Stegostoma tigrinum: one gene and its partners. The protein of the gene in region 2 interacts with the protein of the main gene of each other region in a pairwise test. Links are inferred from orthologs where the notes say so. Each region holds a gene or a part of one and is shown on either strand. Other genes may lie near its edges.

The links.
Region 1: the proteins of protein transport protein Sec23A (region 2) and prrc1 interact in binary tests that used the Homo sapiens proteins (3 or more experiments, as listed by UniProt). The two-hybrid records come from large-scale screens. The link is inferred for Stegostoma tigrinum from reciprocal best matches to the Homo sapiens genes SEC23B and PRRC1.
Region 3: the proteins of protein transport protein Sec23A (region 2) and homeobox protein Hox-A3 interact in binary tests that used the Homo sapiens proteins (3 or more experiments, as listed by UniProt). The two-hybrid records come from large-scale screens. The link is inferred for Stegostoma tigrinum from reciprocal best matches to the Homo sapiens genes SEC23B and HOXA3.

What each region holds. Positions count from the first base shown.
Region 1 is NC_081356.1:27,292,459-27,303,186, forward strand, and holds the start of prrc1 (protein PRRC1), read left to right. Parts: upstream 1-5,379; 5' UTR 5,380-5,466; intron 5,467-8,584; 5' UTR 8,585-8,607; coding exon 8,608-8,698; intron 8,699-10,239; coding exon 10,240-10,620; intron 10,621-10,728. UniProt on the Homo sapiens protein: May act as a regulator of the protein kinase A (PKA) activity during embryonic development.
Region 2 is NC_081362.1:40,468,827-40,479,649, forward strand, and holds the start of protein transport protein Sec23A, read left to right. Parts: upstream 1-6,015; 5' UTR 6,016-6,130; intron 6,131-6,136; exon of another isoform or gene 6,137-6,319; intron 6,320-7,681; 5' UTR 7,682-7,732; coding exon 7,733-7,735; intron 7,736-10,823. UniProt on the Homo sapiens protein: Component of the coat protein complex II (COPII) which promotes the formation of transport vesicles from the endoplasmic reticulum (ER).
Region 3 is NC_081355.1:57,684,173-57,695,315, reverse strand, and holds the start of homeobox protein Hox-A3, read left to right. Parts: upstream 1-5,794; 5' UTR 5,795-6,202; intron 6,203-6,210; exon of another isoform or gene 6,211-11,103; coding exon of another isoform or gene 11,104-11,143. Other genes in the region: homeobox protein Hox-A7, read left to right, coding at 1,328-1,793, 2,817-3,049; homeobox protein Hox-A6, read left to right, coding at 11,104-11,143. UniProt on the Homo sapiens protein: Sequence-specific transcription factor which is part of a developmental regulatory system that provides cells with specific positional identities on the anterior-posterior axis.

The DNA of each region.
Region 1 (10,728 bases), on a different chromosome or scaffold from region 2:
CTGGAGAGCCCGGGGCAGTAGTTCAAAGGCTTTTACGAGCAGCACAGTCATATCTTCAGGGGGTTGGGAAGTGTTAAGAGAATGTACAAAAGGGAAGGGGGTCTTGGGGGAGGGTAGATTGTGTTTGGTGATGAGCACTCTGGCTTTGAAGTGAGGGGTACAGGGAGACTATTTATGACCACAACTGGCATGGTCACTTCAAATGCCAGGGGCTGGAGGGGTAAGGTTGGTAGGTGCAGGGTTATGTAAGTAAGTTGAATGGGGACTGGGTGGGTATTCATGGAAGGGAACATGGGTTTTTTCTGCCTCAGTGACATGTTCAGGTGGAGGCTGTAAGCCACAGGCTGCGGAGCACTCATTATTGCCTTGTATTAGAACCATCTACAAAACAGGACACAGACTTGCAGAGTCTCTGTTCTCTGGCTTCCCTATCGCATACCCCCTCTTTGTGTTGCACCTCCCTGCCCCATACATCACTAGCCAACACTTTTGGACACAGAGTAGGGCAGTTGTACATGGAAGAGAAGGATGTGAGCAGAACCTATTGCTCTGTGTAGGCCTTGTTCTTCTGGGTTCCAGAAGAAGTAGCAGGTTCTCAGCACAGATCTCAATTCATGGAAATTCATCTGTGGTCATGAAGTGATATCTCATACTGTAATAATGACTAAACTGAGAGCCAAACAATTAGATGTAAAATGAGATCAGTGGCATTTATTTGTAAAGGCCAAAATAATACATAATGCATTGTCATAGATCTTTGTCCTCTCCCTCTATGTCTTTGTGTACTCCCTTATTCTTCAGCTAAAATAGAGTGAGCCTGTTTGGCAATGGAGCCCACTCGCCTTAGGGGCTTTGTCAGGCAACACTAGGGGTATTTGTGCCTAGATGGACCACATATGCTTCCAAAAGTCAGAGTGGTGTAGGCAGGGGGCAAGTGAAGGACTTGGCTACTTGAGAGGAGCATTCAGAGATCGTTGTGCGTGGTTCTTCTTCCTGGTAGCTCCTGGTACAGCCCTGTGTCCTGGTGAGGAAGGGTCACCTGCTGTTCACATTGACGTCCCTCTCCCCTTGTCGCTGTGCCTGAGGACCAATGGATGGGGCAATGGAGTGTAGGTGTGTGTGCATCTCCAGCAGTCATTGAGGGGACTGAGTCTATCTCTCCACGGATGCTGCTTTTCTGTTCATGAAAGTAGCCAGACTGTGACATGACTTACTTCACAGCTCCAGATAATGAGGGCCATTGTGTCACACAAGGCTGAATACTGCTCCTGATCCATTCTGTTAATATGGACTAAGCTTTTGATTGCTGACACCGCAGGGTTCTCACCTGCCTGGGGCTGTGCAAGTACCCAGTCCGGAAGTCCTCCAGGTGCCAGTTGTCTGAGCCATTTCTTCCTTGTCAGGTGCTCAGCTGTCACAGTGAGGTGCTCAGCAGATTTTGCTTCAATATTCTTTAAGCCTAACATTACCATTCGGTAACATTAGGTGTCAGTATCTGAACTGGTGGGCAGTGCAGAAGGCAGACCTACTGGTGCATACTCCCTGGCCTTCATCCTTTTATTTTCCGAGGTAGCTTCTGGGGGAGTCAGCCACTTCAATGGACATTAACAGTAACTGCAGTACAGAAGAGAGCAAAGTCTTCATGGTTAGAAGTGGTCTGTAATGAATTACACTGGCAGTGGGGTTAATGTGAGAGTTGCAGTGCAATGAATGTAGTTGGTTGGCAGGACATGGATGTCTCAGCATCTCTGCAGTTGTTGTCCTGGCCTTTTCCTGTAAGGACCAGGATTATTTTCACTTTTGGGGTGAAATCCTTGATGTTGGGCAGCCCTCTACACATATGGGCTCTTCCTGCCCTGTTTAGCGGCTGTCTTCTCCTGTAATGAGGGATTGAGTGAGATAAAAGTAGGTGGCACAGCTGTTGGATCTGATGCAACTGAGCAAAAGGTGGATTGGTGTCCCAAGGTAGCATAGAGATCACACAGGGATTGGAAGTCTGGGGGCGGTAGTTGCAGGTAAGAGGTGTTGCAAGCGACCGTGAGAGTGGTAGGTCATGAACCTTGTGGGAGGTGGGTGTAGTAGCAGTGACCAAATAAGAAAGCAGAGAGTGTAGCACATAAGCTGGTCACGTGGAGGAGGACCTTGACCCTATCACAAAACAGTGGGTCATCCCCTCCACACTATAGAGATGGCATTTATCCATAATAACAAAAATCCAAAAATAAGCAGCCCTCCTCAGCAATCCCCTCAACCAGGATGTCCTTTCGAGAGAACCATGGTGCCATCTGACTTTCTTTGACATGTTCAGAATCTATCTGTGACTGAACAGAGCAGTCATTCAAAGATGGCGTGGGCTGAAGGGATGCCGGTCTTTCAGCAGGTATGTGCTGAGTCATGAGTTTTTCTCTGGAGGACATGTTGTAAGATGGGGCCAGAAACTGACATGGCAGATGCTGATGGGACTGGATCAGTAGTTAAAAGCAACAGGTTTGGAAAGAGACACAAGAAAATTCATTAAATCTTGCAGCAATAAAAAATCCCTCAAAAAGACTCAGTACAACTCAGACTTAGCCGAAAGAAATATAAGACTCAGCCATTTGTCTTCCCATTCAAAACTGAAATGCACTGGAAAGTGTTTAGTCTTTTATCATGGCTGCTTTAGGTCCTTTGAGTATGAGTTAGCATGTACTGTTGAGATTGTACAGGACGTTGGTGAGGCCTTTTCAGGAGTAGTGTCCAGATCTGGTTGCCCTGTAATAGGAAGGATATTATTAAGCTAGAGAGTGTCCAGAAGAGATTTACCAGGATATTGCTGGATATGGCAGGCTTGAGTTACAAAGAAAGGCTGGATAGGCCAAGACTTTTTTCACTAGAGCATAACAGGTTGAGATGTGACCTTAACGAAGTTTATAAAATTATGAGGGATATAGATCGGGTTAATGGGAGGTGTCTTTTCCCCCAGGATGGGGGCTTTCAAATTAACGTGAAAGGAGGGCAATTTAAAAAATGATGGGCATTTTATTTTACACAGAGGATGGGTTATGTGTGGAATGAACTTCCTGAGGAAGTGATGGATGTGGGCACAGTAACAATGTTTAAAAGAATTTTGGATAAGTAGATGAGTAGGAAAGGATGGCGTGATTGGGTCCAGGAGCAAGCAGGAGGAACCAGTGTAGTTTAGGATTATGTTTGGCATGGACTGGTTGGACCGAAGGGTCTGTTTCTGTGCTGGAAGACTCTCTGACTCAATGATACCATAATCAGCACGAATGGTTGGTCTCAAGCTATCAATTACTTTTCAATTAACAACAAATTGCATAAGATTGCTTAGAATATACCTCGCAGCAATAAGGACGTTTAGGCCAACCTGTCATTGCCAGTCTTTATCACACACTCACACCTCCTCTCATCCTTCATCATCAGCATAAATCTTCAAATAAAACTCAAACACTGCAGCTACCGGAAATCTGAGATAAACAGAAAGTGCAGGTCTGGCAGCATCCGTGGAGAGAGGAACAAGGTTAACATTTCTAGATAAAATGACTTCTGAAGAACAGTCATATCTGATTCAAAGTCTTGTTTTGTTTCTCCACAGATATTGCTAGGCCTGCTGAGTTTCTCAAGTATTCTCTGTTCCTTTGGCATAAATCTTGTATTCTTTTCTTCCAGATTGGTTTATCAAGGTTCCCCGCAACCCCATTAAATACATCCACATTATCTACTTTGTCTTTCCATATGGTATCGGTTGCCAGTCCCTCCGAAAAAAATTGCTTTGCCTGAATTCTATATTGGATTGCTTGGTGATGATCTTAAATTGCAGGTCCCTTGTTTTGCTCTTCCCCATAAGTTAAACACTTGTGTTTCCACTCTTATCAAAACCTTTCATTACTTTAAAGATCCCCCTATTAGGTCATCCCTTAGCCTTCTACTTTTCAGCCTGTACATCCATCCTGATAGGTATAAGTGTTCTGTTTTTATGGGATAATATTTCACATGAAGGAAAGAAGTTCTACGGAAACAGAATCATCACTGCCAGCGAACGAACATCTTTAACTCTGCAATCCCAATATTTAGCATGATTTCTAAAATGAACAAGGAAACCTCCACCTGACTACTACCTACTACCTTGCCTCTGTATTTATCCACGTTGAGCACCACTTGGAAGCAGCACCAAGTACAGCAAAGGCACAGAATATTCATTGTAAAGGGGACTTCAATGTCCCTCACCAAGAGTGGCTCAGAAACTCCAATAATGATAAGTTGATAAAGTCTTGAAAATAATATGTCAGGATGGGACAGCGAGTGTTTCAAAAATCAAGGAAAATGGTGAATTGACCTCATCTTCACCAATCTACAGGTGCATCTGTACACAACAGCTTTGGTAGAAGTGTCAATGTACAGTCCTTGTGAAAATGAAGATCTATCTTCACATTGAAGATGCTGTCCACTGTGTTATGTGGCGTTATTACCAGGCTATATAGAACAGATTCAGCACAGATCTAGAAGCTCAAATCGGACATACATGAGATGCTGTGAGCCATCAGAAGGACGGTATTCAACTACCATCTGTAACATCATACCTCTCATTACATTTACTACTACCATTAAACCAGGGGAATGACTCCTGTTCAATAAAGAGTTAGGAGAGTGTGTCAGGTGAAGCGCAAACTCAAAAATGATGCTCCAATTTAGTGAAACCACACTGCAGGACTATATACCTACAACACAAACAACATGCAATTTAAAGAGCTACAAAATCTTAGATCCAATGAATCAGATCAAAACTTTGCAGTTCTGTCGCATCCTGCAGAAAAGTCATGGACAATTAAGCAAGCAATGAAAACAACTGTCTCCATGAATATCCCCATCCAGAATGAATGTAGAGTACATGACACTAATAAGGCTGAAGCATTTACAACATATTCAACTCGCCATGTCAAGTGGATGATCTTAGTCTCATTCAGAGTTTGCCAGTATCACACTATACTCCTAGGCAAACTGTACCTGGCCAATTGTAATGCTAGCATGGATTAAACAATGTGGAAAATTGTATAGGTATGAACTATTCATGCCTATGGATGTGAGAGTGGTGCTGGTGGTGGAGTAGGGGTGGAGTCCGGTGGTATCAGTGAGGGTATGTTGGTTGGCATGTCCATGGACGTCAGCCAGTGTGATGGGTGGGGGGTGTCAATGGGTGTCAACAAGTGTGTGAGAGGGACAATGAGTGTCAGCGAGGGTGTGGATCAATTAGTGCCAGTGAGTCTGTGCGGAGGGAGAAGTCAAAAGTGCACCAGTGTCATTGTGAGGGCCACCCTGTAGGAGTTGCCCGTTTAAGAGGCTTCGATGGTACGTGGCAGCTGCTGACGTACGCACTGCTGACGTGGCCGCTGACGTTACCGGGACGACGGAGCCATCTTGGCGGCTGCAGCGGTGGTGGAGACGGCGAGGGACCGACACCCTGGGGAGGTGAGAGACAGACACACACCGACACACGGCGGGGGGAAATCAGGTGTCAAGGAACGAGAGAGACCCTTGGCCGTTAAGGCTGATACAGGGACGATTCCGACCCCCCCCCCCCCCCCCCACGTGTTTCCCCGCACCGGGGATGCTGACCTAGCCTGGATCTTCCCCGTGCCTGTTGCTCCTGGCCTCGGGACCCAGTGGAGCTCCAGACGGGCCCGAATTTGGGAAGCTGGCCGCGGTGATTTCTGCCTGGCGTTCGCATGTCAGTCCGAGGACGCCCTCTTTTTTTCAGACTTTGAATGTTACCGACGTTTGCTGAAAACAAAAAAAAAATAAACGCCAAATTGCCAAACCGTGCCAAGTTCAGTCGGGGCTGAGAAGCGGGTCCCTGCCTCTGAGCCACAAACGACGGTGTCCAGTCCCACTTCAGGATCCGATGGCCTTGGGAGGGGGTATGCTCCTCATGTAGCCATACAAAGTTGAACTTGTCACTTATGCCAGTGACAGACGATAAGGATGAAAGAAATTGCTGTTTAATCAGTCTCGTGTGGTACCTGCAGAATATTAGCTTTCCATTTAACCCACCCTCTCCATCCCACCACTACGTTTAAGACTTCACGTCCGGGTTTCAAGGTACAATCGCTAACCTCCTCCCCAAACATACATACGCACGGTCTGATGTAAAGCTCTCCCCCGTTCTAGCACATGAGTAATCAGGCAAATTTTGATGGTCAACTCTATCACGGAATAATAGGACTGGCACCCAGAAGCTTAATTTCGGTATTAAGCAATCCGTTACAGAAGGGTGGAGCCGCAGGGGTGCTTATGGAGGGAATTCTGGAGCTTACAGGGAATGAGATGTTAAACACAAGGCCCCTGCATCTCTTTAGGTGAATGTTAAAAACTTTAGTGCACTTTCAAAGAGGTGTTATTTCTGGCATTATAGCCAGTGTTCATTCCTCAATTGAAATTTCTGAAGCAGTTTCTTAGGAATAATGAAATTGCTGTTCTTGAAGATTCACGTGCACAGATTGGTTGCTATTTCCTACCTTACAGCACTGAATATTGTACATATCAAATAGTATTTCATTTATAAAGTGCTTTGGGATATCCTGAGTGTGTGACATTTGCTGTATAAATGCAAGACTATATCGATTTTATCTGTCATTTGTCCTGCCACCCACTCACTTTCTGTCCAAGTTACATGATCACCTTTACCTTATTGTATCGGTCAGCATCAACTCACATAGTCACAAAGTATTGATTTTAAAGATGGGCTGTTAGAGACTCAGATGATTCCCTGCAGTTTTTGTTGGCAGCATGTTACTCAGTTACTGTGAGTTGCTGATTGTGCTCAGTAAGAAGTTTTACTGAAGGTGGCACGATGGCTCAATAGTTAGCACTGCTTTGTAACAGCACCAGGGACCCAGGATAGATTCTAACCTTGAACGACTGCCAGTGTGAAGGGCACATTCCCTCTGTGTCTGTGTGGGTTTTCTCTGGGTGCTCCGATTTTCTCCCCCAGTTCAAAGATGTGCTAGTTGGTGGATTAGCCATGCTAAATTGTTCAGGTGATTAGGGATGTGTAGATCAGGTGGATTAGCTGTGGTAAATGCCGATTACGGGGCTAGGGTAGGAACTGTGTCTGGGATGGATGCCCTTCGATGTGTGGGTACCGACTTCATGGGCTGAATGGTCTGTTTCTGCACTGTGGGGATTTTATGATCCTAAATGAAGGAACAGAAGTGTATGGTCAAGAGTGTGGATCAAATGCTGATATTCATGGAATGTCTTCCATAGACTGACCTATCCCCTCCCTACCTCCCACCTATACTCTCCTCTCCACCTATCTTTTTTCTCCATCTTCGGTCCGCCTCCCCCTCTCTCCCTATTTATTCCAGAACCCTCTCCCCATCCCCCTCTCTGATGAAGGGTCTAGGCCCGAAACGTCAGCTTTTGTGCTCCTGAGATGCTGCTGGGCCTGCTGTGTTCATCCAGCCTCACATTTTATTATCTTGGATTCTCCAGCATTTGCAGTTCCCATTATCACTGATACCTAAGTCATTTAGCCATTTCTACTTGTGCTTTTTTATCGCCACCTCAACCGCTGGCAGCAAGGTTTGCCATCTGAGCAATGTTCTCTTGTAACTCTTCAGATATTCAGCGTGGTTCAAAACCTGTATCACGGAAGAACGAAGGATTGTAGGTACACACCGCCAGCTACAATGTCCCCTCCATGTTGCTCTTCATTGAAACATGAAAATCTTTTGCTCTGCCTCCGAGGTCAGTGGATGAAAATCCTGGCACTCGTTCACAAACAGCACAGCACTCTGGATGAATCTTCATGTGGACTGCAGCAGCTAAAAGCATCCACCCCATTTACAAGGATCATTAAAGATGGGCACTGTATATTAGCTTTGCTTAAAAATGCTAATACCTCAGGAATAAATACATTATAAAAATCTCCCCCTTTTAGAGTTGCAATTAAATATGCTTCCACCACCCTTTTTTATATAGCAGTGAAATCCAGATCATAACTCTCTGCCTAATTTTTTTTCTTTTTATTTTGCTGATTTTCATGAATCTCATAGGGCTTTCTTGCTAACACTGCAGTAAGTGTACCTATGTCCCATAGATTCCAGCAGTTCAAGCTGGTGGCTTACTGCCACCTTGAAGAAAATTTGCAGTGAGCAGCAGTTGCTGGTCTAACTGCTGATCGAATTTTTACAGCACAGAAGGTTGGAGCAAATGTGAAATTGCAAGCTCTGTTAAAGAACAATTCACATTGCCCCCTGCTCATTGCCCACGCACCCTATAAGGAGAAAATTGCAAAATTGTGACCTGTTAGTAGCCCTGCCATCTAACCAGTGAAAATATCTTTTGCTTACTCATTTTGCATGAAAATTTCCCAACCCTAATGCCTCAGCCTACAGATTGGGATTTTTTTTTGCGCTGATGTCGCTGGATTGACTTTTTGACTCTCTGCTATCAACATTGAATGAATAGATGTAGCTAACCATTTTTCCAATCTATACAAATGTGGATACTTCTGACCAAGTGGTTCTGAATTTGGAGTCAAGAAATATAACTGTTGTATTTCTTTGTTTTTGTATGCTTGCAGAAAATTGTGATTGAAGGAAAAAAATGATGGAGGAAAGTGGGATTGAAACGACTCCCCCCAGTACCCCACCACCTAGCACTGCAGTGACTGCAAGCAGTCCCCCTGCCCCTACAGGTAGTACTGTTTTAAATTTCAAACCAAACATTCAAGCAAAGAATGTATATTCATAGACAAGAACATGTCAGTGAGTAAATTTTAGTATTAATTAATTAAATAACATAGAATACCTTGATAAACATTCACGTAAGTGTGTGCATTTTATTTTCTCCTGATAATCAAGATTCTGATTCCAGTTTTTGCAGATTGTGCTTCACTGCATGAGATTATCTCCAGTTTTAAAAGTTATAAAAGTTGTTAAGAGGGGAAAATGGTAAAGAATTTTATTGTAAGATCAGTAACAAGGGCATTGATATGGAAAAGTAAAAATTGTAAATAATGTTCCACTAAGAAGACTAATGATTTTAGGGTAAACTTTTAAGAATCGTGAGAATGCCAGACTCACTTCAACAGGAAGTGGTTGAGGTGAAGTACTTGGACATATTTTAAGGCAAAGCTGGATATATGGTGAATAGTGGTAGTGAGATGAAGATGGGATGGGATGGAGCTCAGAGCATTAACAGAAGCATTTTTTTTCTGTGCTGTAAAATTCTTTTTAATTCAAAAACCCATGACTGGTAAAACTAATGAGGAAGTTTCAAAATTTTCTTTTTTTGATTTGTGAAGTATTGTTTCACAAGTGCCTATAAAGAAAAAAAACTGCAGTTGATTTTCAATATTTGAAAATAGCAAATATAAATGGACAGGCATTGATAATGGCGAACGGAACATAGCATTGGTTTGCCATATTGACAAAGCTACACTAATTGACCAACATTCTGCAATCATTTCTGTGCCTGTAGATATTATAGATGAAATTGAGATTTTATCTGGATACTTAGTTGAAACATTTATCAACTGTTTTCAATCAAAAATTTAATCTCTTGATGTGAAAATGTTTCATCATTCACAATTTTTATTAGCAAGCTTTATAACATTAAACCGAAGAGCTTTTTACTGTGGGTTCAGTATTGCAAAATTTTGAATCTTAAATCAGATATGAAGCTAAATTTTTTTTATTAGCTAGTATCTGAAATCACTGAAATGAGTGTTGACATCTGGGAAGAGATTGATTTGAATGGCATGTATTCCCTGGTGTTTAGAAGAATCAAAAAGTGGTCTCAGTGTAAAGTTCTTGAAAGGCTTGATAAGATGGATGTGGAAAGGCTATTTTCACTAGCTAAAGCCTGGAACTGGAAGGCAGTCACAGGAGGAGGGGCTAGCCATTCCAGATTGAGATGAAGTTTGTCATTCAATTCAGAGTCTTGAAGATTCTCTATCCTGCATGGCTATAAATGTTTAATCATTGGGTGTATTCAAGACAGAAATCAATAGATGTTTGGGCTCAAAGAAGGGTATTGGGGATCGGTGGGAAAGTTTTTTAAGGTTAAAAATTAGCCATGCTCTTTCGAAATGTTGGAACTAATTTGGGGGTGGGGGGGTGGTGGGAGTGGAAATGGAAATGGGTGAATGCAGCACAATGTTTATGTTGATTGTATTACTCTAAATCTTTTCATATTTCTTTTGTTTCTCTCTTTTTTTGGCTTATCTGTCTGCAGTTCTACCCAGTCCTTTATCTAATCCTATCGCTAGCTCTATCTCTTCGTTACCTCCCTCAACCTTTTCTACACCACCACCACCTCAAACCCATATGCCTCCTGCTGGGTCCTTCACACCCCTGACAATGGGATCTTCTGCTGTCGCTTCCACCATACATCCAACTGTCGCTCATTCTGGGACTGCAGCTTATAGCAGTCCATTAAACTTTTCTCCGTCAGCACCTCCTGTGGGTTCTCCTGCTGGCCCTGTCTTTTCTGCACCTCCCGTAGGTCCACCAATCACTGGTTTCTCCATGACTGCAAATTACGACATCACCCGAGGTCACGCTGGTCGAACCCCTCAAACCCCACTGATGCCAACATTTTCTTCATCTGTTGCAGGTGGTAGTTTAATTTTAATGTTCCATTTTTGTTCATAGAGTACTTTCTTAATGTGGAAATTGTACACAAGTGTTTAACATTGTCGGTATTATGTAATGTAAAACTTTT
Region 2 (10,823 bases):
GACACCGACAATGGGGACACTGCATGGCAGCTGCTGTGTTTAATTTTTTTTGTTTCATGTTTTTCACATCAAATACCTTTCTCTGTCACATACAGGTATATGGTTCACTTTATGGAAAACAATACATCACAAGTTATATCCCATAAAATACAAAGGAAATGCACTGTTTTCACTTACTGTCAGCAAAGCATTGAAAAGCCAAGGAATTAAACAACATTTCCAGACACAGGCCTTAATCAAAAACACACTTTCACTTTGTCATTGAGTACTACTCTGTGACACCCTCAGAGAAAGAGATTACAACATGTGCATGTCAGAAAACCTTTAGAATAAAAATTTCAAATGCGCAAAATCCATAAAAGTATTGCTAAGGGGAGGAGGTGACTTAAGGGCATTATTGCTAGGCTAGTAATCTAGACATTCAGATATTGAATTTTAAGTCAACAAAAAATCTGGATTGAGAGTCTAATGATGACCATGAAACTGTTGTTACTTGTTGAGAAAACACCATCTGGTTCACTAATGTCCATCAGTGAAGGAAACCCATCATTACCTAGGCTGGCCTCTTATGATTCCAGATCCACAACAATGTGCCTGACACTTCACGGGCTCTAGGAAATTAGGGATGGGCAATAAATACTGGCCTATCTACCAATGCCTACATTCTAAGAATGAATTTTTAAAAAGTTGTGCATAAGTTAAGATGTCAAGAATTACAAGTCAGAACTGGAGGATGCATTACAAAAACCATGGGAAGGTAGTGTTTTATGATGGATGGAAGGAGTTGACTAGGAGGTCAAATGATGACATCTTTCAGAATATGTCCAGTGATATTTGGCAAGTCATGGATCATTGAGATGGCTACAGCAACAAAACCAACGGTATCTACCAGGTAGAGATAACTTACCCAGAGATATCCCGGAGGCAGTAGCGAGCAGGATGCAGGTCGACTGCGCGTCGTGACCGATGTTTTATAGGAAGAAGAACATTCACACTGATTATCCCTCAAAGACCCTGTTTAAATGTAACAAAAAAGAAATCACATGAAAACGGAGACATTTTAACCTTCTGGGGGAGAATTTGTCAGGGTTATCCTGGAGCACTTAATGAAATTCCAGAACTATTCCGGCAAAATCTGGATGTCGAGCAGAAGTGCAAGATGGCCTATGTAAATAATCCCTCAAAAAATGTGGTCTTTGAGCGGCACTGTCTATCAGTCGCTATGACCACGATTATCAGTGGCATTCCCCAGTCACATCAAAGACAAGCTTGGCCTATGTAAATCCAGGTTACAACGAAAGAGAATGAATAAATCTGAGTCTCGGGTTCGACTATAGGAGCACATTTGAACAAAAGACATGCCAGCGGAAGCGCAGTCCGCCAGCAGAATGCAGGATCTTCCCGTGTGTCTCATGCAATATTTCTAACCAAGAACCGACTGTTCTCCGTGGAATAAACTCGCTATACCGACCTGATTCAGATTATCCTTCACCCATTTGTACCAGTTGCTATTCTCCACATCCCCCAGCCCCTTGCCGGAGACGATCACTGCTTTGCGGAGCTGGTCACTGCCGCTCGGGCCCACTGGAGAGGTGGAGCCAGTCCCAGCCACACAAAACCTGCGCCTTACAACGTGAAGGGGATTCTCACTCTTTAGGCATTTCGTCGATTAGTATATTTGGATAAGAAACCACTGCAGGCAACCCCGCCGACTGATTGAGACAAATTTTGACCTGGGAATTGAGTTCAATTTTTGGTTGCGAGGGTCTGAAATACTCTACAGAAAGTAGGCTGAATGTTCCTCTTCTGAAGTATAAAGTTCATTACTGCTTGGAATTAGCGCACAGCAGCAGAATTAGTACAAACAACATCATAAAGTAAACAATTAGCTTGCTCAAGCAATGGACAGGTTGATTTGAAAAATTCACCTTTATTCCTGGATATTTTTGGAGGAGTTTTACAGATTATACCTCAGCCGAAATCCCACATTATCTTTCAAAGGGTTCACAAGATGTGTTGCTAGCAAGTGCAGTATTTATTGAACATCTCTAATTGTTCTTGACGAAGACTGTGTTAGCTCAAACTCTTCCTGATATTTACGAAGTATAATTGCTAAGTATTTGTGGTGGGATTGAACATTGCCGGGGGTAAGCACTGTTGAGCGTTTGAGCATTGTCAGTAATGGGAGTGGGCCATTGCCAGAGTGTGGTAGTAATATTGCAAAGGCCGCTGAGCAGGATGAACCATATCATGTGTATGATCATTGGTGGAAGTGCAGGCAACTGGGGACTGTTGGGATTGGGGTGTGCCTTTGTTAGGAGGGTAGATAAGGGGTGTGAACATTATAGGGTGCAGTAGTGGTGAACTTTGTTAAGGGGTGTGGGAGTTGTGCTGGGTAACTGATGAGGAGGTGTGAGCAATGTCAGGTAGAGTAGAATCTTAGAATCTCTACAGTGTGGAAGCAGGCCATTCAGCCCATCAAGTCCACACTGGCCCTCCAAACATCATCCCACCCAAACCCACCACATCCCCATAACCCTACATTTCCCATGGCTAATCCACCTAGTCTGTACATCCCTGGTCACTGTAGTATAGTAGGACTGTGGGAGGAAACTGGAGCACCCAGAGGAAACCCATGCATACGCGAGAAGAATGTGCAAACTCCACACAGAGAGTCACCTGAGGTTGGAATTGAACCCTGGTCCCTGGTGCTGTGAGGCAACAGTGCTAACCACTGAGCCACCGTGCCAGCCCAAATCAAAATAACATGATACTGATTGATAATTCCTTTAACAAATTTCTGCAAAAATCTCTGAAGATGAATCATGCACAGTGTTGTAAGACAAAATAATATGGACTTTTAAAAAAACATACAACTTACCCTTGCCAAATTGAAGAATCACCACTATGCAGCAATTCATCTTTTTCATAATTGTCTATGGCAAGCTTGCAGGCTAGGTTTGCTTTTTGCCAAGCTGTTTGGTTGCTTAACATTTGCTTGCAGTTGGTTTTGTCAGGGATTCAGGAATAAACATTGTCAGTTGTGTAAAATTGCGTGCATTGTTGGGTATAGAAAATGCTGGTGTGTTTGAATGTTAATGGAATGGGATCCGAGTATTGCTAGATGTGGAGCAGAAAGTAGTGCATTGGTGTGAGCAGTGAGAGGGACAGGGATCCTGTGACTTGTCAGGGGTGCAGTAGATTGAGCATTGTTGTGGGAGGCACAGCATGGGTGAGCATTTTCAGTGGATTTGGGGACCACAGGATTTTTTTAGGCCTCCCCTAAACAGTTCCTTCCATCAATCACCAAATTATACCTGAAATTAATAGAAAGGTGGGTAAATATCTGAGTATGTATAAGGCTGAATGTTCATTGTGAGACCCCATCAGAAATGTCTCAATGTAATTCTTCCCATTGGAAATTTGAATTTCCTGAGTAAATGCTCCATATTTACATTTTAGCATTCTCTTTTACCTTTAGAAAAACTGGATCTGTGTTCAATCTAACTGAGGTAATACTAACTTTTGGCTATGTAAAATGAGGGATATTGTATTGTTCATCTATTATGCACACCATCCAATTTTCCTTTCCATTATAGTAATGGGAGTGTGGAATGAGCAGCAATTGGATATAGCTCTTTGTCTTGTGGTACAGCAGGTAAGATCCCTGCTTCAAAGCTAGAACTCCAGGTTTGAGTCTAATTGGCCTACTGTTTGCAGTTTTCCACCTCCCTCCTTTCTTGCACACTGCTGTCACACTTGCTGCTTTTGAAATTGTTGTGAGCTTTCTAGAATCTAGGGAAATCCTACCTGGAATCCAGCAAATATATGGAAAGAACTCTGAAACAGAAAAAGAAGCAAACAAGATTTCTTACCCCTCACTCTAATCTGGTCTAAAGATGTTTAATGTTGAGAGCAAACAAGACATCTTTGAAGGATAATGAAAAGTAAGGGAAGGTAAGGGGTACAATTAAAAAGGAAAACTTTCATTTTGATAGTCTTTCACACCCCTAGACTATCACTAAACATTTTACAATAAATTTAAATAATTTTGTAATCATTGTTGTAATTTCAGAAGTAGGGAATGTATGAAAGAATCCTAATGATAGAGCTGCTGACCCCCTTCTAAGAAACTTCAGCAGGGAGAAAAAGATAAGTTTGAAGGTGACTACAGCTGACAGGAGAGAGAACATAGAATTGAATGGGTATCTCAGCAATGAAGAGATGGGTAGTGATGCAACAAGTGGTTGGTGGGAAAGACAGTCACCTGAGAATGTTAATGAATAGGCAAAATGTTAGGGGTCACGATACCAAATAGATGAGACTAAATATGATTGTTGGGGTAAGGAAACTTCTCATATTTATTCTAAAACTTTTATTAGCAATGTTAAAAAAGTTGATAGTTATTATCTACCTCAGTTGCTTTTCAGAACGAGCCATTATTTATGCCATTGCATGAAATGGTACAAGTATTCATAAACTACAGTTGGGTGTGGATTTCCAAGATTTTGAAAATGCTAATGAGGAATATTATTTCATAGAACCTCTACAGTGTAGAAACAGGCCCTTTGGACCAACAACCCTCAGAGCATCCCACCCAGATCCAACCCCCTCTCACCCAACTAATCTAAACATCCCTGAACATTACAGGCAATTTAGCATGGCCAATACACCTCGCCTGCACATCTTTGAACTGCAGGAAGAAACTGGTGCACTCGGAGGAAATCCACACAGAGAGCTGCCTAAGGATGGAATTGAACTAGCATCCCTGGCATTGTGAGGCAGCAGTACTAACCACTGAGCCACCATGCCACCCATTAAGGATGTTGAATCTGGGAGCAAAACTCAACATGATAACGCTCCTGCACACTTTGTCCTTTCCAATGATGGAAACTGAATTTTGAAAATGCTGGCAAAGAAGCTGTGGTGACTTGTCGCAGTGTATTCTTTGGGTAGTAAATACTGAAGTAATAATGTACTGCTGGTGAAGTTAGTAGAGGCTTAAATATGTGTAGATTGCCAATCAGACTGCTCTGTTGAGTTATTTGAGTGTGACTGCAGTTGCACCATCCAGACAGTAGAGAATATTTCATCATCCTCATGACTTCTGTTGGTGATGCTTTGAGAAAAGCTGAAGTGTGTCACTTGATGCAGGACAGCCAGTTTCTGTTCTGAAACTCCATTTTCTCTCCACAGATGCCTGAGCTGCTGAGAATTTCCAGAATTTTATTTCAGTGCCACCACCCCTTTCCCACCCCTCATCAATCTTCTGACCATTTACGTGGCCGTTCCTTTTAGTTTCATCAATAGTTCCCAGGTTTTTGATGTTCAGGTGATAATTTTGTTATGAAGATTAATTTCTATTACAAACAAACCCTACTGTTTCTATGCAAACACTTGAACTGTCCCCAGAAGCCTCTGTAGATCAGGTAGCAGGAACAAGTGAGATTCTGAGGTAGCATGCCAAACATCATCACCATATTAACATTGTCACAACTGAGTTGAGGTGATCATGAAGCCAGAATGCCAGACACTTGCTTCCCAACATGATTATTCTACGCGAGCTTTAGTCTATATAGCGGTCTCCTGGTAGTGACTGCAAGTGATACAATGCCACACAGGTTTCACTTGGAAATTTGGATATTGACCCGAATCTAGCAGCTTACGTTTGATCATTGCATGTTATGGGGCAGCCAAAGGGCCAGTCGACCCAAAACATTATCCCTACTTTCTCTCCACAGATGCTGCCAGACCTGCTGAGCTCTTCCAGCAATTTCTGTTTTTGTTTCAAACACAGACGGGTGTGGCCTACTTCGAAAACTTCTTATCCCGTTTTATCACCTTTATTCCCATCAGCACCTTAAACAACATAAGACGATCGAAATAAACAGCTTCACTCTCCAAAATGGATACAGTCACTGAAATTCACGTGATCTCGATCTTGCCCCTTCCTAGACCCGTGGTGACGTGTTAAACCAGGCGCATGCTGAGCTGTACTTCCTGTCGTAGACGTCAAGAAAGGAAATGACGTAAGGCCGCGGAGCAGGAACTGGGTGGAGGAGGACGTGTTGTCAGGATCGGGATTATCGAGTGAAGGAGTCGCTCACTTTCGGGGCTTTTCGCGGACTAGGTGATCTCCTTGTGATCGTTTAGCACGCAGTGTCACTGGACATCAGTCCCGGTGTTCTGCTGATTAACGCTCTGCAAGTCACTGGCCGCAGTCATACTCAGGCTGATGTATAACTGTGAGGGATGGTGGTGCTGCTGCTGGTAATAGGTGTCATTGGTTTGGGTTCGTTGACACTGTCTTAATCGGCAGGTATATACTGGGGGAATTGCTAGAACTGTGAGTGATGGTGAGAAAACGGGTTTCATTGGAATTGATCTTTGGCAGAAGGTCGGGTTTCTAAGAGTCGTAGAGTTGTACAACACGGATACAGACCTTTGGGCTCGATTCGTCCATGTCGATTAGATACTCTAAATTTATCTAGTCCCACTTGCCAGCATTTGGCGCATATCCATCTAATCCCTTCCTATTCATGTAGCCATCCTGATGTCTTTTTAATATTGCAATTGTACTAGCCACCACTTCTTGTGGCAGTTCATTCCATACACACACCATTCTCTGCATGAAAAAGTTGCCCTTCAGGTCCCTTTTAAATCTTTCTTCTCTCGCTTTAAACCTATACCCCCCCTAGTCCTTGCTTGGTTATTTATGATTTTGACATCCTTAGGATTGTAACAGACTGCTAATGGATTTTGAATGTGAGCTTGTCTTCTTTCTCAGCTTCTTCTCCATACAAAATTAACTGTCTTAAAATTTGTTTCTCACACTTGTGACTGTATAACGATGTATAACTGCAACTGTATAAACTGCAGTTAAATTACAGTTGAGAGACAACAATTAACAACATCCATTTAAATGCACCCATAAACTTTGTAAAATATTTCAGGGTCATTCACAGAGGTGTTCAACATAGAAAATTTCATTCTTAACTTAGCCAACAAGTCCCCTAAATCTGCTGGCTGAATTCTGTGATCTTAAAATAAGTGTATGTGTAAGTTGTAATCTTGCAAAATTTCCTGCAAACGTAGCATCTGTATTCAAGAGGAAAGCACAAAGCAAGAAACTATAGAACAGTTATCCTTATGTCTATCACTGGAAAAATGCCAAAATTCATCATTAAAGAATTCACAGCAAGAAGTTTAGAAAACTAAAATACAATCAAGTTGAATCAACATGGATTCAGGAAAAATAAATTGTTTGAAAAGAATTAGAATTCTTTAACAAACTTAATACGCAGGTAGATAGAAAGGAATCTGAAGATGTAGTGTATTGTAATATTTGCAAAGATCATTCAATAAGTGGCACAGAACTCATAATAATGAAAGGAAAGTACTGCAGTTACCAAAAGTCTGAAATAAAAAGAGAAAATGCTGGAGAAACTGGCAGCATTTGTGGAGAGAGAAATGGGGTTCACATTTACAGTCTGATCTGTTTCTTCAAAACAGTTTACAAGACATTAGCATGCATGTACAGCAAGTAGGTGAGGAAGGTAAATGGACTGTTGGCCTTTGTGGCAAGGGAGTGGAACATAAAAGTCGGGAAATTTTGTCACATTTACATGTGGCGTTGGTGAGACAATACCATCCACAGTTTTTTTTTCTGTCTTTATTTCAGGAGAGAGATCCTTGAATTGGAAGCCATACAAAAGATTCACTAGGCTGATTCATGGTATGAATGGATTTTGTCTTCAGTTGGGTGTACAGTCTTTGGAGTTGAGAAAAATGAGAGGTGATCTTGTTAAAACAAAAGATTCAGAGGATGTCTTAAGAATGTAGATATTGGGTGATGTTTCACTTCATGAGCAAATCTAGAACATACCTAAAATAAGTACCCTCCTGATTAAGACAGATATTTCTTCTGGGTATGATCAATTTTCGGAATTCAGTACTCTGAGAACATGGGGGCTAGCTCTGCAGAACATAATTAATTTGAGGACAGATTTTGATTTACAAGTAAATCCAGGATTATGGGGACTGACAGTAAAGTGGAGTTAAACTACCAACAGCAATTATCATCTTGAATGTTGGAGCAGGTTGAAGGAACTAAGTTGCCTGCTCATATTCTTTAGAACATGAATGTATCTTTTGAACAAACCACTATAAGAGGATCAAGCTTTTGTTTGACATTGATTACTGGACTACCCAAGTAGGTCTTCTGTTATGTGGCCATCCCACATTGGTTAAACTTTGTACTATGAACCTCTCTGTGCTTTGCGTGTTTACTTTTTTCATAAGTTTCTGATGTTTTGTGCTGCCATTGAATTTTCATGACTCTTCTGAGGCATTGTTGATGGAATTACTTCGGTTTTCTGATGCAGTAACTAAGTGTTGCAGCTATAACACGTACATAGGTAAGGATCTATATTTTATTTGTTGGCTTTCAGTTTTTTTGCTGGTTTACTAACACTAATCCCATAGGCCACACAGAACATTTCAAAAGCGTTCATGACTCAAGACAATCTGATTCACCTCAGTACTTTAGTTAGCTATCTGCTATAAGCAAGGTGTACTGTTGGTTATATTGGATCACACCCTAGTTGTCCACAATTCATTTCATTTATAGATATTTTCCAATCAGCCTGTTCACAGATGTTATTGTACACCTCTGGGTCAGATGGGATTTGAACTCCAATATCTTTGTTCAGAGGTAGAGACACAGGAGCCCCATATGACTCATCTATATGCATGTTTAAATTGGTGAGGGTACAATACTTAATGTGAATATTGATTTTTCAAGCGTTTAGCAAAATATCGCATATACCACTTGTTAGTAAAATTTGGAATAGTTAGAGGAGATGGTGTCACAATCAAAATTGGCAATTACAGAAAACAGTGAATGGTTGTTTGTCAATTTAAAGGATTCTACAATGGTTCCCCAGTGAGAAATAAAGACTGTAAGAGAAGGGTGTACCATTAGTGCCAACAAAGAAAGTTGAAAATATTACATTGAAATAAAAAGATAAGTAGCAGGCCAGAAGTGTCTGAAGATTATGAACAGTGTTAAAGAATTACTAAAAAGAAATAAGAGGAGAAATTAGAATATAATAGCAAGCTAGCTAGAATTATAAAAACAGATATTAAGAGTTTCTTCAGGTATTTAAAAAGCAATAAGAAGTAAAGGGAACATTGGTCCTCTATACAGGGAGAGAGACTGGGGTATTAATAGTGGAAAAACAGAAATGGTATATGATTTTTGTCTGTCTTCAATATTGCATCCCAGAAATAATTCTGAATCAGAATCTGAAAGGAATCCAGCAACTTAATTTCAATCACCAGGGAAAGAGTACTGAGAAAATTCTTCGAAAATTTGACAGGCTTCCTGGTCCTGATAGACTTCATCCGAGGGTGAAGTAGCTGCTGAAACAGTAGATATAATTGTTTCAATTTTCAAAAAATTCCTTAGATACTGGAAATGTCCCATCACACAGAAAAAAGCTAATGTAACTCCACTTTGCAGTGAAACAGAAAGCTAGAGGCCAGGTAACCAAATATCTATCAGATGAAAAATGCTTGAATCTATTAAGGACGTTGTTGCAAGGCGCTTTGAAAATCTTATTGCAAACAAGCTTTTTGAAAATTGTCTTGTGAAAGGGAAGTGGATAGAGGAGTCAGTGGATTTACTCCACTTAGATCCCAGAAGTTATTTACAAGGTGCCCATCAAAGATTAAGTAAAACTAGAGCTCCTGGTATAAGAAGAGGCATTGTTTTGCCACGGATGGAGGATTGGTTGGCTAACAGGAAGCAGAAAGTGAACCCAAATGAGTAACCTTTGGGTTGGCAAGATGTGATGAGTGGTGTGCCACAGGCATCAATGATGGAATCTTATTTGCAATGTATATAAATGACTCAGATGTAAGGACCAAAGGTATGGTTTCTAATTTTCCTGTTGGTACAGGGCTTGGCATGCAACTAAGTCGTGAAACGAACATAAGTGTTCTAAGGGACATGGACAGCTTAAGTGAGTGGATAAAAATTTGGCAATAGTCTCTGCTGGGGTTAACTGTGAACATGCCCACTTTTAGTGGAAGAGTAGAAAAGCTTTGAACTACTCAAGTTAAGAGATTACTGAACTCGATAAAGAAGAATCTGGGTTTCTTGGTAAACTAATCACAAGAAGTCAAAATATAGATTCAGCAAGTGATTAGGAAAGCAAATAGAATCTTGTTGTTTATTGCAAGGGAAATAGGATATGAAAGTGGGGGTGTTTACACTCCAGTTAATATAGAACGTTGGTGAGGCTGCAACTGGAGTACCATGCACAGTTTTGGTATGAAAGGAAGGAAGGGTATGAATACATTTGAACCAGTTCGGAGAAGATTCATCCAACTAATGTGGGGGAGTAAGGGACAATGATTGATCTTAATGAAACACACAAGATGCTGTGGGTGCTTTACAGGGTTGATACTGAAAGAATGTTTCTCCTTGCAGGGAAGTCTATAGCAGGGACTCAATTTTAAATAAATTTTCTCTGATTGAAAATGAGAATGATATTTTTCTGTCAGAAGGGAAATGAGTCTGTGGAACTCTGCATCCCAGAGAATGGCGATAGAAGTGGAGTCATTGAATACTTTAAAACAGAGGTAGAAATATTCCTCACTTACAAGGGAGTCAAAGGTTGGTGGATATGTTGAGTTGAGAGCACTATCAGATCAGTCTGATCCTTTTTGAATGGTGGAACAAGCTAGAGGAACAAATGGCCTTCTCTCTTGCTCTTAAATCATATGAGTTGACACGAGGCTCAGTGCTCCTTTTTATT
Region 3 (11,143 bases), on a different chromosome or scaffold from region 2:
GCACAGGGATTGGGACATGCCAGCGGAGACTCCAGAGATCAAAAGAAAACAACATTTCAGAATATCAGAGCAAACAGTTCCTAAAGGATCGCAGACGGAAATGCAAAAAACATGTTTTTATTTTAACAACCCTTTACTGTTAACGCACCAGGTGCATGCTTGCTAGACTGTCTTGCTGCTGTAAATGCTGGCGATGATTTTCTACGCTTAACCCTGTCAAAATATGCCCATTAATGTGGAACATAAAAGCAACTGTTCCGCTCGAGAGGAACGAAAACCTTAAACACAGGAACTGGACAATGTGCCCGGACATTGAGGACAGCAGCTACGTAGTCAAGTTCTGTGATCTAACGAGAAGATTGGGAGAAAACGAGAGAGAGAAAAAAAAAGTTGTAAAACAGAAGGCGGAAACGATACCCGGGGTAAATCCCCTGCGGGGTTCCAACCAGATTACCTAGCAACTCTAAAAGGTTTCTACAGAATAGTTGTTGCACTGAAACCCGTCAGAGGAAATGTGGTCATCTCCAAAGTGAACTCGTCCATTTTAGTAAATCAATATAAAAACAGGCTTAAATGTTAAAACAAAAATCCGAGAGTTCGTAACAGAGGCTAGCATCACAGCCATTTTGCGTTTTGATGTTGCAATATTTCTCTTGTATCTGTAACCCTTACAATTTACCCACATGGATTATTCTCTAATCTTGAGTTTAGATGTACATTCAATCTTAATTCAGTAAATCCCCAATGTTTCTTACCGTGTATAATGCCTTAATGGCATCGTAATACAGCAAACCACTGCACGGGGTTGGAGGGGGGCGGGTGCAGCATTTGGGGGGGGGGGCAGTAAAGAGAGAAATACAACTGCTCATTTATTTTCAATTCTTCCACCCAGCCTTTTCTTTTAAACCAAACAGCGTAGGATGCACCTAAATGTTATACCAGGGCGAGTATATTACTATTCATGATTGCTGCTTCTTTTAATATGCGGCCAAATTGTATGAGTTTCATTGCATATCTTATTCTCAACAATGTTGGAATCATACCTGCGTTCCCAAACCTTTCACATATAAATGGCACAGTGGCTTGGAAAAAAAATTAACAGAAGAACGTTGACCTTTTAAGGTGACGCAGTCTTATCGATACTTTCAACATTAAAAGATTGTGCGTGATTTTAGCACAAAATCTTTTTGAAAATAGTCGAATACCATGCTATTTACCACCTGTGATGCCGAATGCTATTGGGTGAAGGGATCACATGACCAGGTCACGTGAATAGAAATGAGTCGGGCCGAAGGAAAATGGGTGCTTGGTGTAAATCGGGGGTGTAATGCTACCATTTATCACGCTATCTCGTAAAACCGACACTGAAGTCCTGGCCAACAAATCACCAGACAAAATTATGAGTTCGTCGTATTATGTGAATGCTCTTTTTCCCAAATATACGGCGGGGACATCCGTTTTCCAGAACGCGAGTGGCTTTACAGAAGCAACTTCTTGCGCTTTTGCTACCAACTCACAAAGATCCAGCTATGGAGCGAGCGCCAGCGCCTTCCCAGCCCCGATGGCCGGCCTGTACAATGTTAACAGTGCAATCTATCACGGCCCTTCCATGTACAACACAGGTTATAACCTAAATTCCGATTCCTACAACCTGCGCTGCTCTGCCTTAGACCAGAACATTCCAGTTCTTTGCAGCGATCTGAGCAAACAGGGTTGCGAAAAATTGGATCAAACAAACGTGCACCCTCAAGCAGAGAGCAATTTCCGGATTTACCCCTGGATGAGGAATGCAGGTATGGGACATAGTGTAACATAGCGACGAGAAAACGTGCAAATGACCAGTTAAAATGAGCGCCACTACATCCTGAAGGTAGTTAAAAGTTTTAATGGTAGCTGAGGACCAGTTCCTCAAATGTACGTAGTATTGTATGTAGATAGCAATCATAAAACTTTTATTGCACAATTAATCAGTACAATCCTCGTAAAAGCACTCGACTTCCGTTCCTTTAAAGTTAACAGCAACTCACATATTGCTTGTTTACTCACTTTTATCAACATCAAATGAGAGCAATGTTCTTTACTGATACGCGGGGTAAAAAACACCGTCTTTTCTTGAATGGATGGGGACTGATACATTGCAGGTCTAAAGTATGTTTACAGATTGGGCAAGGTCGTAGAACTGAAGCTTTTTTTCCCTCTGTTTTCCACTCCGTGAAAGATCTTTGGGTGCTTGTAATGCGATCCCCCCCCCACCCCACCCCCTTAGTAGATATAAGTCCGTATTTGAAACGAATTACTTCGGTGCCATAAGATAGGAGCTCGAACTACAAGAGTGAAATTGTCATTTCAATTGCTAGCGTTAGAATCGAATCGTTTTGAAAAATAAAAACACACACATAAAAGCTGACGATTGTCGCTACCTGTCATTCCTGTGTCTGAAATATTAATACTCCAACCTCTAAACAAGGTGCAATGTTACTCCGGCAACCGCTGGGATGTAAATAAACTATCAAGAGCACGACGTGATTTGCACTGAAAATCTGTTTTTCTTTTCAAAAACCATTTTGCTGTAAGAAGGTTCCACTCGGAGCCAAAAAGACATTTTGCATTTTAAACCAGACCCTTGGCAAATCCTCTAAATACTTAGTTCAGCCACAAATATTTCAAAGGGGTTCTGTAAGAGCAGAGATGACGAGTGGATGTTGAAAACAACATACAGGGGAATGTCCGCACTGCTTGCATTGTGTATTTATGAAAGTTGGTTTTAAAAGCTGGGTTCATGGTTTGGCTGTTCTGTTCTTTCATGTCTTTCGCAGGCCCTGACAGAAAAAGAGGGCGGCAGACCTATACCCGTTACCAGACTCTGGAACTGGAGAAAGAATTTCACTTTAACCGCTATCTGACTCGCAGGCGACGGATTGAAATCGCCCACGCTCTGTGTCTGACTGAGAGGCAGATCAAAATCTGGTTCCAGAACAGGAGGATGAAATGGAAAAAAGAAACGAAAGCTGGGAGCTCTAGCACCACGACCGAGGAAAAGCAGGAATGAAATTCTCAGCTAAATCCTGAACTATGCGAAGAAAGTTGCTCAGCAGCCGCTAAACCATGACATTTGACTAGCTAACCACAATCGTGGACTATTTCAGAAATGTGTGCTAGCACTCATGATACTACCTATGTGTTTTAATAACTTCTTTCAAAATCATATCTTTAAAATTCGAGGTTCACTGATTTTGGTTTCAGTTATTTCTTTTTAAAAGATCAAGTCTTTATTGGCATTGGTAGAGAGCTAGGAATTGACTTCAGAATCCGTGTTTTCATCAACAAAGGGAAAGTGGAGGGTTTAGAACATTTGTCCGCAAATGCTACAGGGAAGCAGTCAAATTTGAAATGTTTGTTTTCTCAAGTTTAATTGAGAATCTCTGTCCTCAGTATTGCAAGGAACGCGAAAGAAATTCGAAATCCTTCTTCGCTGTTATTAAAATAAAATGAATTAGATTTGGATTCTGAACCTCCCGCAGTGCAATCAACGGGATAACGTTAGCCGATAAAACGCAATGTTTTAGTTTTAACCTAGATAATGCAAAATTCAAATACCACTACGTGTTTTAAAATATATCTCATGCACTGAACTACTTCTCAAACTTATTTTTTACTTCTGATATTTCTTCTTCACATGTATTGAAGTATTCCTGCTCACTGTTCAGAAAACAAAAATACCGTGATAATAGACGGTTGATTCCAGTCCAATCAAAGACCAAGTACTTGAGTCACTTTAACAGACATAGCAAGAATTGACAGAAAACTAACCAGTCGAATAAAATAATTTATTTGTATTAAATTCTTCGTTTTTATTGTTTTTATTACATTACTTCTCCACTGCTCTCTGAGTGTGTCGCTTTACACCGAGATGTACCGTTCTGTTAACAAAATGAAGAAGATTTTTCAAATCACATAGCAATGAAATGTAACTACCTAAACCACAATAGTGGACATCTTGCACGTCTTTTGAAACTACCTAAATGTTCGAATTGAATATTCGTTTCTTGATAGAGAGTGTTCTTGGAGTCTAGACTTTGCGCACTTCTCTAAACAGTACCCATTATATGAGAACAAAAATGTGAATAATATTCTGATGTACTTTTTTTTAAGGAGGTGCTTATATAGCCACTTTATAACACATCATAGTGATAACTACCTAGATACCAGTTTACATTTGACGCGAATGGAGTTGTTTCGTACCGTGCTTAAATACTATAATGTAAAAAAAGCAAAACAAGTTATATATAAAGGGGGAAAATTGCAATATTTCTCTCTGATTGATGGCATTAAAATGTATACCTGCTAAAGATTTCAAGCAGCCATGTATTATTGAATGATGTAATTGTCTTTCTTTAAGTCTGTTGTGTCAGTTGTCTTATACATGTGTACTGTCTAAATTATAAAATTAAAGAAAAACAGTAACCAAATGTAATAATAGAAATTCTGAAAAGCATCGTCAACTAGATATATTGTGGTTCCATATTCGGTATGGTATCTGTCAATGGAAAGTTTGCTTTGTAATATGTGTATGTGTTGTTAAATAATAACCGATGTTAAAGGTTTAAGGTGCAATCTATTTAAAATGCATATATTCGTTCCAGCCGTGTATACTTTAAATGGAGTCTCTGTAGACAAACAAAAACGAGAAATATTAAACGTTGCTTGAATAAACAGTGTGTCGTTTCTTGGCCTGAGCAGTTTACCACCAAATGAGTGGCTCCATGATTCGTTAAAAGATAGAAGTAGTGTCATTAACAGCAGCAATTAAATATAAATTATTTCAGAGTAACAAACGCATATTTTTATATTATAGTCCTATTCATTGACATCCAATCTGTTTTTCACCGAAACAAATGAATACATAATTTTTGTCCACGAAGTGGGTACGTTTTAGACAGATTAAAACTGAAGATGACAAGGTCCTTTGTGCACATTACGCTCACTTAGTTATCGTTGACAAGAATATTTTTAAATAAGACCGTGTTTGCAAGTAATGCATCTGATTTAAGGCGAAGGTTAGGTCGATGATGGGCTAAAGTTCTCAGAAAGCAAGCTGGACCCGATGCCTGATTGAGCTCATTTCCCTTTCAGAAGAGTCTAAGAAAAATGGAAAAGATGAGAACATAGTGATCCTAGTGTCTCTGGTTTCATAACGAACAAAAATTGTCATTCAAATAAAGAAGGAACCGAGTCGCTACTTCATCGCCGAGCTTGGAAGGAATATTCGGACAGGCGCAGACTTTATTTGTAATGCAAGCAGTGCGGCATTGTAACTCGTAGCTCATTCCCCCACGAAATAGAGCGAACTCATTGCCATTTTTAAAATGTAACATATTCAAGAAACGAGCAAACGAGAAGAAATGCGATGATACGTAAACCTGAATTGATTCGTTACAATAATCGTCTGAACGCAGAAACTAATGATTTCTGTGAAAAAAACCACGAATTACAAACGAGTGTTATGATCATAATACCGTAGCTTCAGAAATTAGAAAATTCTTTTTAAACCGCGGAAAAAATCTTTAATAATTTCACAATTTTAACTTGACTCTTTGTTAAAAATGGCGTCTAAGACCTGCCTCCTAATAGTCATGGGGAAATGTCATAAATCCGTTGTTGTTTTATGAAAATTTACAACTTTGCAATAGAACTTTACGAGTTGTTCGGTTTTTCCATTGGCCACTGAAAGTCATGTGGAGTGTAACCGTGAACATGAACTTTTTATAATTTCCCTTGCGACTATAGAACTGCATTCTTTTGCTTAGCGCGTGTTGGTTCGGATGTGAGAGCTTGCGGGCTTTCAGCAACGCATATTTTCTTCTTTTTACCCCCTCCGAGTGCAGTGATTATTCGCCTATGGAGTTTCAATGCATCCAAGCTTACAGCACAGATCCCGTGTCTGGCAGCTACGAATTTCTCCACGGAAGGTGGAGCATTGGATTAAAAAGCGCCGGCTCTGATCCGCAGGGCAGTTTCCTGCAGGTCGTCACCAAACGCCGCTGGCGGAATGCGGGAACCAGGGGCCCGGGATGGAGCTGAACGGACAGCTGTCAAACTAGACACGGGGACTGTAAACACTGACACTGGGGCTCAATAAATACGACAGCCGGTCTGTGCAGAGACCGGACTTGCCAGGCCAAGGGGTGGAATCAGCAGCAAGGTAAGGCCCATTCTCAGCGTTGTAGCTCTGCAAAACAAAAGCATTTCAAAAATGCCCTTTCAGCAAAGTTATTGTTAAAAACAACCTTTAAAGCTCTTTAATTTTGCCAAAGTTAAAGATCATCATGCTAAAATTGCCGACGACCTTTGAATTGTGATAACTCGAAACGTAGCGTTTATTGAGCATTCATTGAGCGTAATCTGGCCGTTTTAAGGGCAGTTTGTTATGCATTTGCAATTTTTTTTGGAGTTTATTTGTTTTGAAATGAGTGTGGATGATGTTTTTGACGTCTTACGTTCTGGTTGTTTCTGGCCAACAGCCGATCTGTTCGTTTCAAAGTGTTTTGCATTAGGGTCAATTTGACAAAAGTAACGCACGAGCATTGGTTCAGTTTTTAAATGTCATGTAGGGGGAATCTGGGAGTGAGGTTCGTTGTAATACAATCTATTGTAGATTCATTGCAGTTGAAAAATAAACTATTTATTCCATTTGAAAATAATTAATCTGTTACGGTGGCTGTTCTTCATTTAAATGATTTATTTCTGTTGAATTGCTGTTCTTGCTACGCATAGTTTTCGTTTAAGATGCAATAAATTTTAGTGTCTACTTTTGCTATTTTGTTCAAACATTTTCTGGTAGAAATCTAATGTATGCCTTAGTGTTTATTTGTGAAGCATCATCTCCAGTTATTTGTGGTTAATTTCAGTGGTGAAGGCGGCTCAAGAATGAGAAATGATCATAGATATTCTATTTCGGGTCTGAGCATGCAAATTTGCTGTCTGTTGTTTTTCTTACTTAACGCGGACGTTGTCTTTCTGACACTAAGGCACTTGGACCCGGCTGACTGAGGATGTGTGTGTTCGTGTGGATATTTATTAATGTTTGCTGTCCTCTTGGACTCGTTGCTGCCACCGTGTGTTTGGAGTGTGGTCAAACTTGTGGTGTTGCTGCGCAGCGTCTCACTTAGTCATGTGTTACTGATGAAGTAGTTGACTTGCATTCTTAAACTAACCGTTCAATGTGTCGCTTGGTGGACATGCCCAGTAATCAGCAGTTTGTTTGTATAATAGCACGCACTGAACTCGACTGAAATAGCACTTAAAGCGTTTTTGCATTAAATTATTTGTTGCGCTTTAGAAATGAGTGAAACTGTGGGCTTTGCTCTCGGAAATGCGAGACATCACGCGGTGTGTCACTTATACTATATTAGGCTTTGAGTGCAATACTTGTACTTATGAAATGCATTGCGCCAAATAGTTATTTGATCCGTAATGATCATTAATAAGTGTGCCATAATTATACTAAAGTTAACGGTCAAGGTATGCGTATTCATGGATCGAAATGGACAAATACACTTTGTTATTGATAAAGACTGGGAAGTAGTAAGCTTGCTCAATTTAAATCTACGGTGCCTCCTTAATTATATGGTTAAAGCGTGGTTACAACTCATATTTGTGATATTCGAGATTTTCTATGGAATTGTTTTCCTTGTGTAAGGAATATGAAATCGAATTTAACGAAGAATTTGAATGAACCCGATGACATAACAAGAAAGTGTTGTCAGTGAATGGTGAGTTTAATGAATAGGCCTGTTTAGTTGTGATAAAGCAATGCAGAGTTTTTTTTAATCTTTCAGAATGCAACTTCATTATTTATGTAAAAGATAGCAAAAAACTTTCGATCATTTAAACTCTCGAAGAACCACGGTTCTGGAACGGGTTACAGTTACATCAAAGTCTTTAGAACATTTATACTGCTTCCTTGCGATAATTATAGTTCAAATTGTGGCAACCTGTTAACGAGATGTGAGCGTAGCAAAAGAAATAATATCAGCGCCAGGTGGGTGGAAAGCTTGAAGCACGGCTGTGCAATTCACAATTTCAAAGATGGTATGTTATTTCCTTTCAGATGAATTGAGTAAGCGGATTAAATGCGTATTTAATATTTTTTAGAAATGTTTATACACATATGTTTTTTTAAAATCTTAGTCATGCTCACCAAGCCCAAACTAGGCCCCAATTCCACCTAGTAAACCAAGAGACATTCCGTCAGCAGTTGCTAATTAGGCTGTATCTGTTCTGGTCGCTGCAAGACCGGATAAGACTTGGGGAGAAATTTCTATTTTGTAAACGACATTCAAAATACTAGTCCACAAGTGGTGGATTTGAATATATTCCATCTTTCTTGTATTTTTTTTTAATTTGACGTTCTCTAGCTTCAACTCTCCTAACATTGAATACATTGAGTTTCGGATTCCATCGATTCAGAATCTATTATTTTATCTTATCATTCAGAAGGTTTGCTGTCTAGAAGGAAATAGAAATACGTCAACGGAAAGAATAAATCGCAGTGATAGTATTTTAGCTTTTCCCAGTCCATTTCGTAATTAGTTGTAACCTACCGTCGGAGGAAATTTAATCGGCGCTTTATTTTCTGAAACTGCAATGTTATTTTTAAAAGTATGAATTGCAAAATATAGAATTCAATTCTAGGTTAGTGATGAAAAAAGTTAAATTGTACGGTATTGCTTTCAACTCCAGAAGATACATAGTGTTCAAGTTATTATTTAATATATTCTATGGGCTCTTTAGTAGCAATTTTCACCACTCTGTGTGTTGATGGTCTCATTATATTGCCTTGTTTTCTCTAGTTTTCCTAACACGCGATGCAGCAGCAGTGGCTATTAGCTGTTCCACCTAATTGGAAAATAATAGCCGTGGTTTACGCATAGCTCTTTTGTTCATCTTTCAATATCACCTTTTACTGTTCAGCATTTAGTTCATTTGCACGACGCAACTTGTGTGAAGATGCTTCATGTTAAAGAATGCAGCAATTGTGGGAGCTTGCTAATCAAACCTTTACTTCTAAGACCTGGTTTGTGACAAATAATCGAAAATCAAAAATAAACACAAAGCAAATCCATTAACAGAAAAGATCAACGTTGATGAGAACTGTTCGAATTTATTAAAATTCAGTATACAATTGGAAGTAAACGCATAAATATAATACATGGTTAGAGGCTTTAGGGCAGAAACTGAGGAAAGCGGCAAGCGTCGGCCTTTCATTAAGAGGGGTCGAACTGGCTTAATCTTGCACATTTTCCTCCATAATTGCTCTGTATTTATACTCACACTTCGAACAGATATAGCTTTTGATTTCGACCAGCTTTTGGCTTTTTTTTAATAGCAAGTCTATAATTAGGAAAGAGAAACAGGTATAAGCTTGCAGGGCTGAAAATTAATCTACTTGTGGTATTTTAACTACTTGCATTAACTAATGGGGCATCCACACCAAAAAAAAACTGTTATCTGTCGAAAATGTAAAATCATCCAACTACTAAACGACCGCATTCACGAATTCTCCTTAATTTGTAATGATTGCCCACTAATTGCTAGGTTTCGAGTTCGGTGCAGTATGGGTGCAGTAACAGTATTTACTTGAGGGCTAAAATATCTTACTTGCCTAAAATATATCCACGTCCTCCTCATGTATGTCTATTATTTACAGTACCTCAGATATTTCAGTAAGAGATGTGACCACTGTTGACGGAAAGGAAACCTAACGAGATAATGAGATCTTTAGCAAGGAGCCTTTGGCTTCCGTCCTTTCATTGCGATCTGATGCCGCGGTCTGGGCGCAGCAAATGCTCTGTTATTCCAAAACACAAATGTCCCCATTGAGATGTTCAAAATGCCTAATTATTCGAAAGGAAACATTCCACTCTTTTATGGTCGATAAAACCTTAACAGTGTGCAATTATGGAAAATCGAAGTTGGGATTTGGGGAGTATTAGTGAATTTCAATCGTACGCAATTAAAACAACATTGTAATGGAAGTGAGCCATACGTAGGGTTATCAAGAATAAAATCGAGCTTCTCTATGTTTCGAGCTCGCTTGGCCGTTCAAATAAACCCGGCGAATGTTGGTTAAATGGAAGTGTTCCCTAGAAGTGTTGTGGTGTTTGTATATTAAATGCACATGTATATGCATGCATGCTTTAATGAAGAACGCTGGTGCAATAACAATTACTCCCACACACAATTACTGTGAAATCTTTTAGAGCTGAGAATCTGCGTTGCGGTCTACTGTTGGGATTTTCTTCGTAAGAACATCAAAATTAAATCTATAAATCATATCCCTGTATATGTACTCTTACCATTTTATTTTATTGCTGGTATGAATTTACTGAAGGCACAGTTCAGGGACACTCGATGTTGTGGGTCCCAGCACTTATAGACGCTATTGTTCTTTGTTTAAAATGGGCAAAGAAAAATATTGTGGAGGGACTGTGGTTTGATGTTTCCCAAATAGTGTAAATAAACTAGCAAAAGCAATTGTGCGCCTGTAATAAAACATATCCAAATTGAAAAATATGCTAATAGAAAATCTAAATTATTTCAACTATTATTTACCCATCTAACTTACTCTGTGCATCTACCTACAAGACACATCTACAAAACTAGTGATTTGTTGATTTACTTCTTATTACCCTTCCTTCTCGAACATCTATCTCCTAATTATTGTTGATCCATCAATTGTGTGAATGCATATTACAGTCATGATTCCACGAATGAATATATCTAAATTACGATTACATAGCTATATCTTGTAACCTGATAGTGTTCTCTTTTGGTCACTAATATTCCATTAAAATCACCTCTGTTATAGTTCAGAACAGATTTGGTTGTTTGTAACTTTGCTAGCTCGGTCGCCGGATCTCCAGGGAATTTTTTGAACCAGAGTCGTTTTCTATTGGCCAGAGACTGATCAGCTGGTTATATTTGCTGCTGTCGCTTTGGCGCTCGGCCATCCTGAAACAAACCACCTCGATGACTACTAATAGCTAAACCACATTGTGTACTAATACATAACAAATCATATTACTACAGACTGTGGAGCAAATGAGTTCGTATTTTGTGAACCCTACTTTCCCTGTTTCAC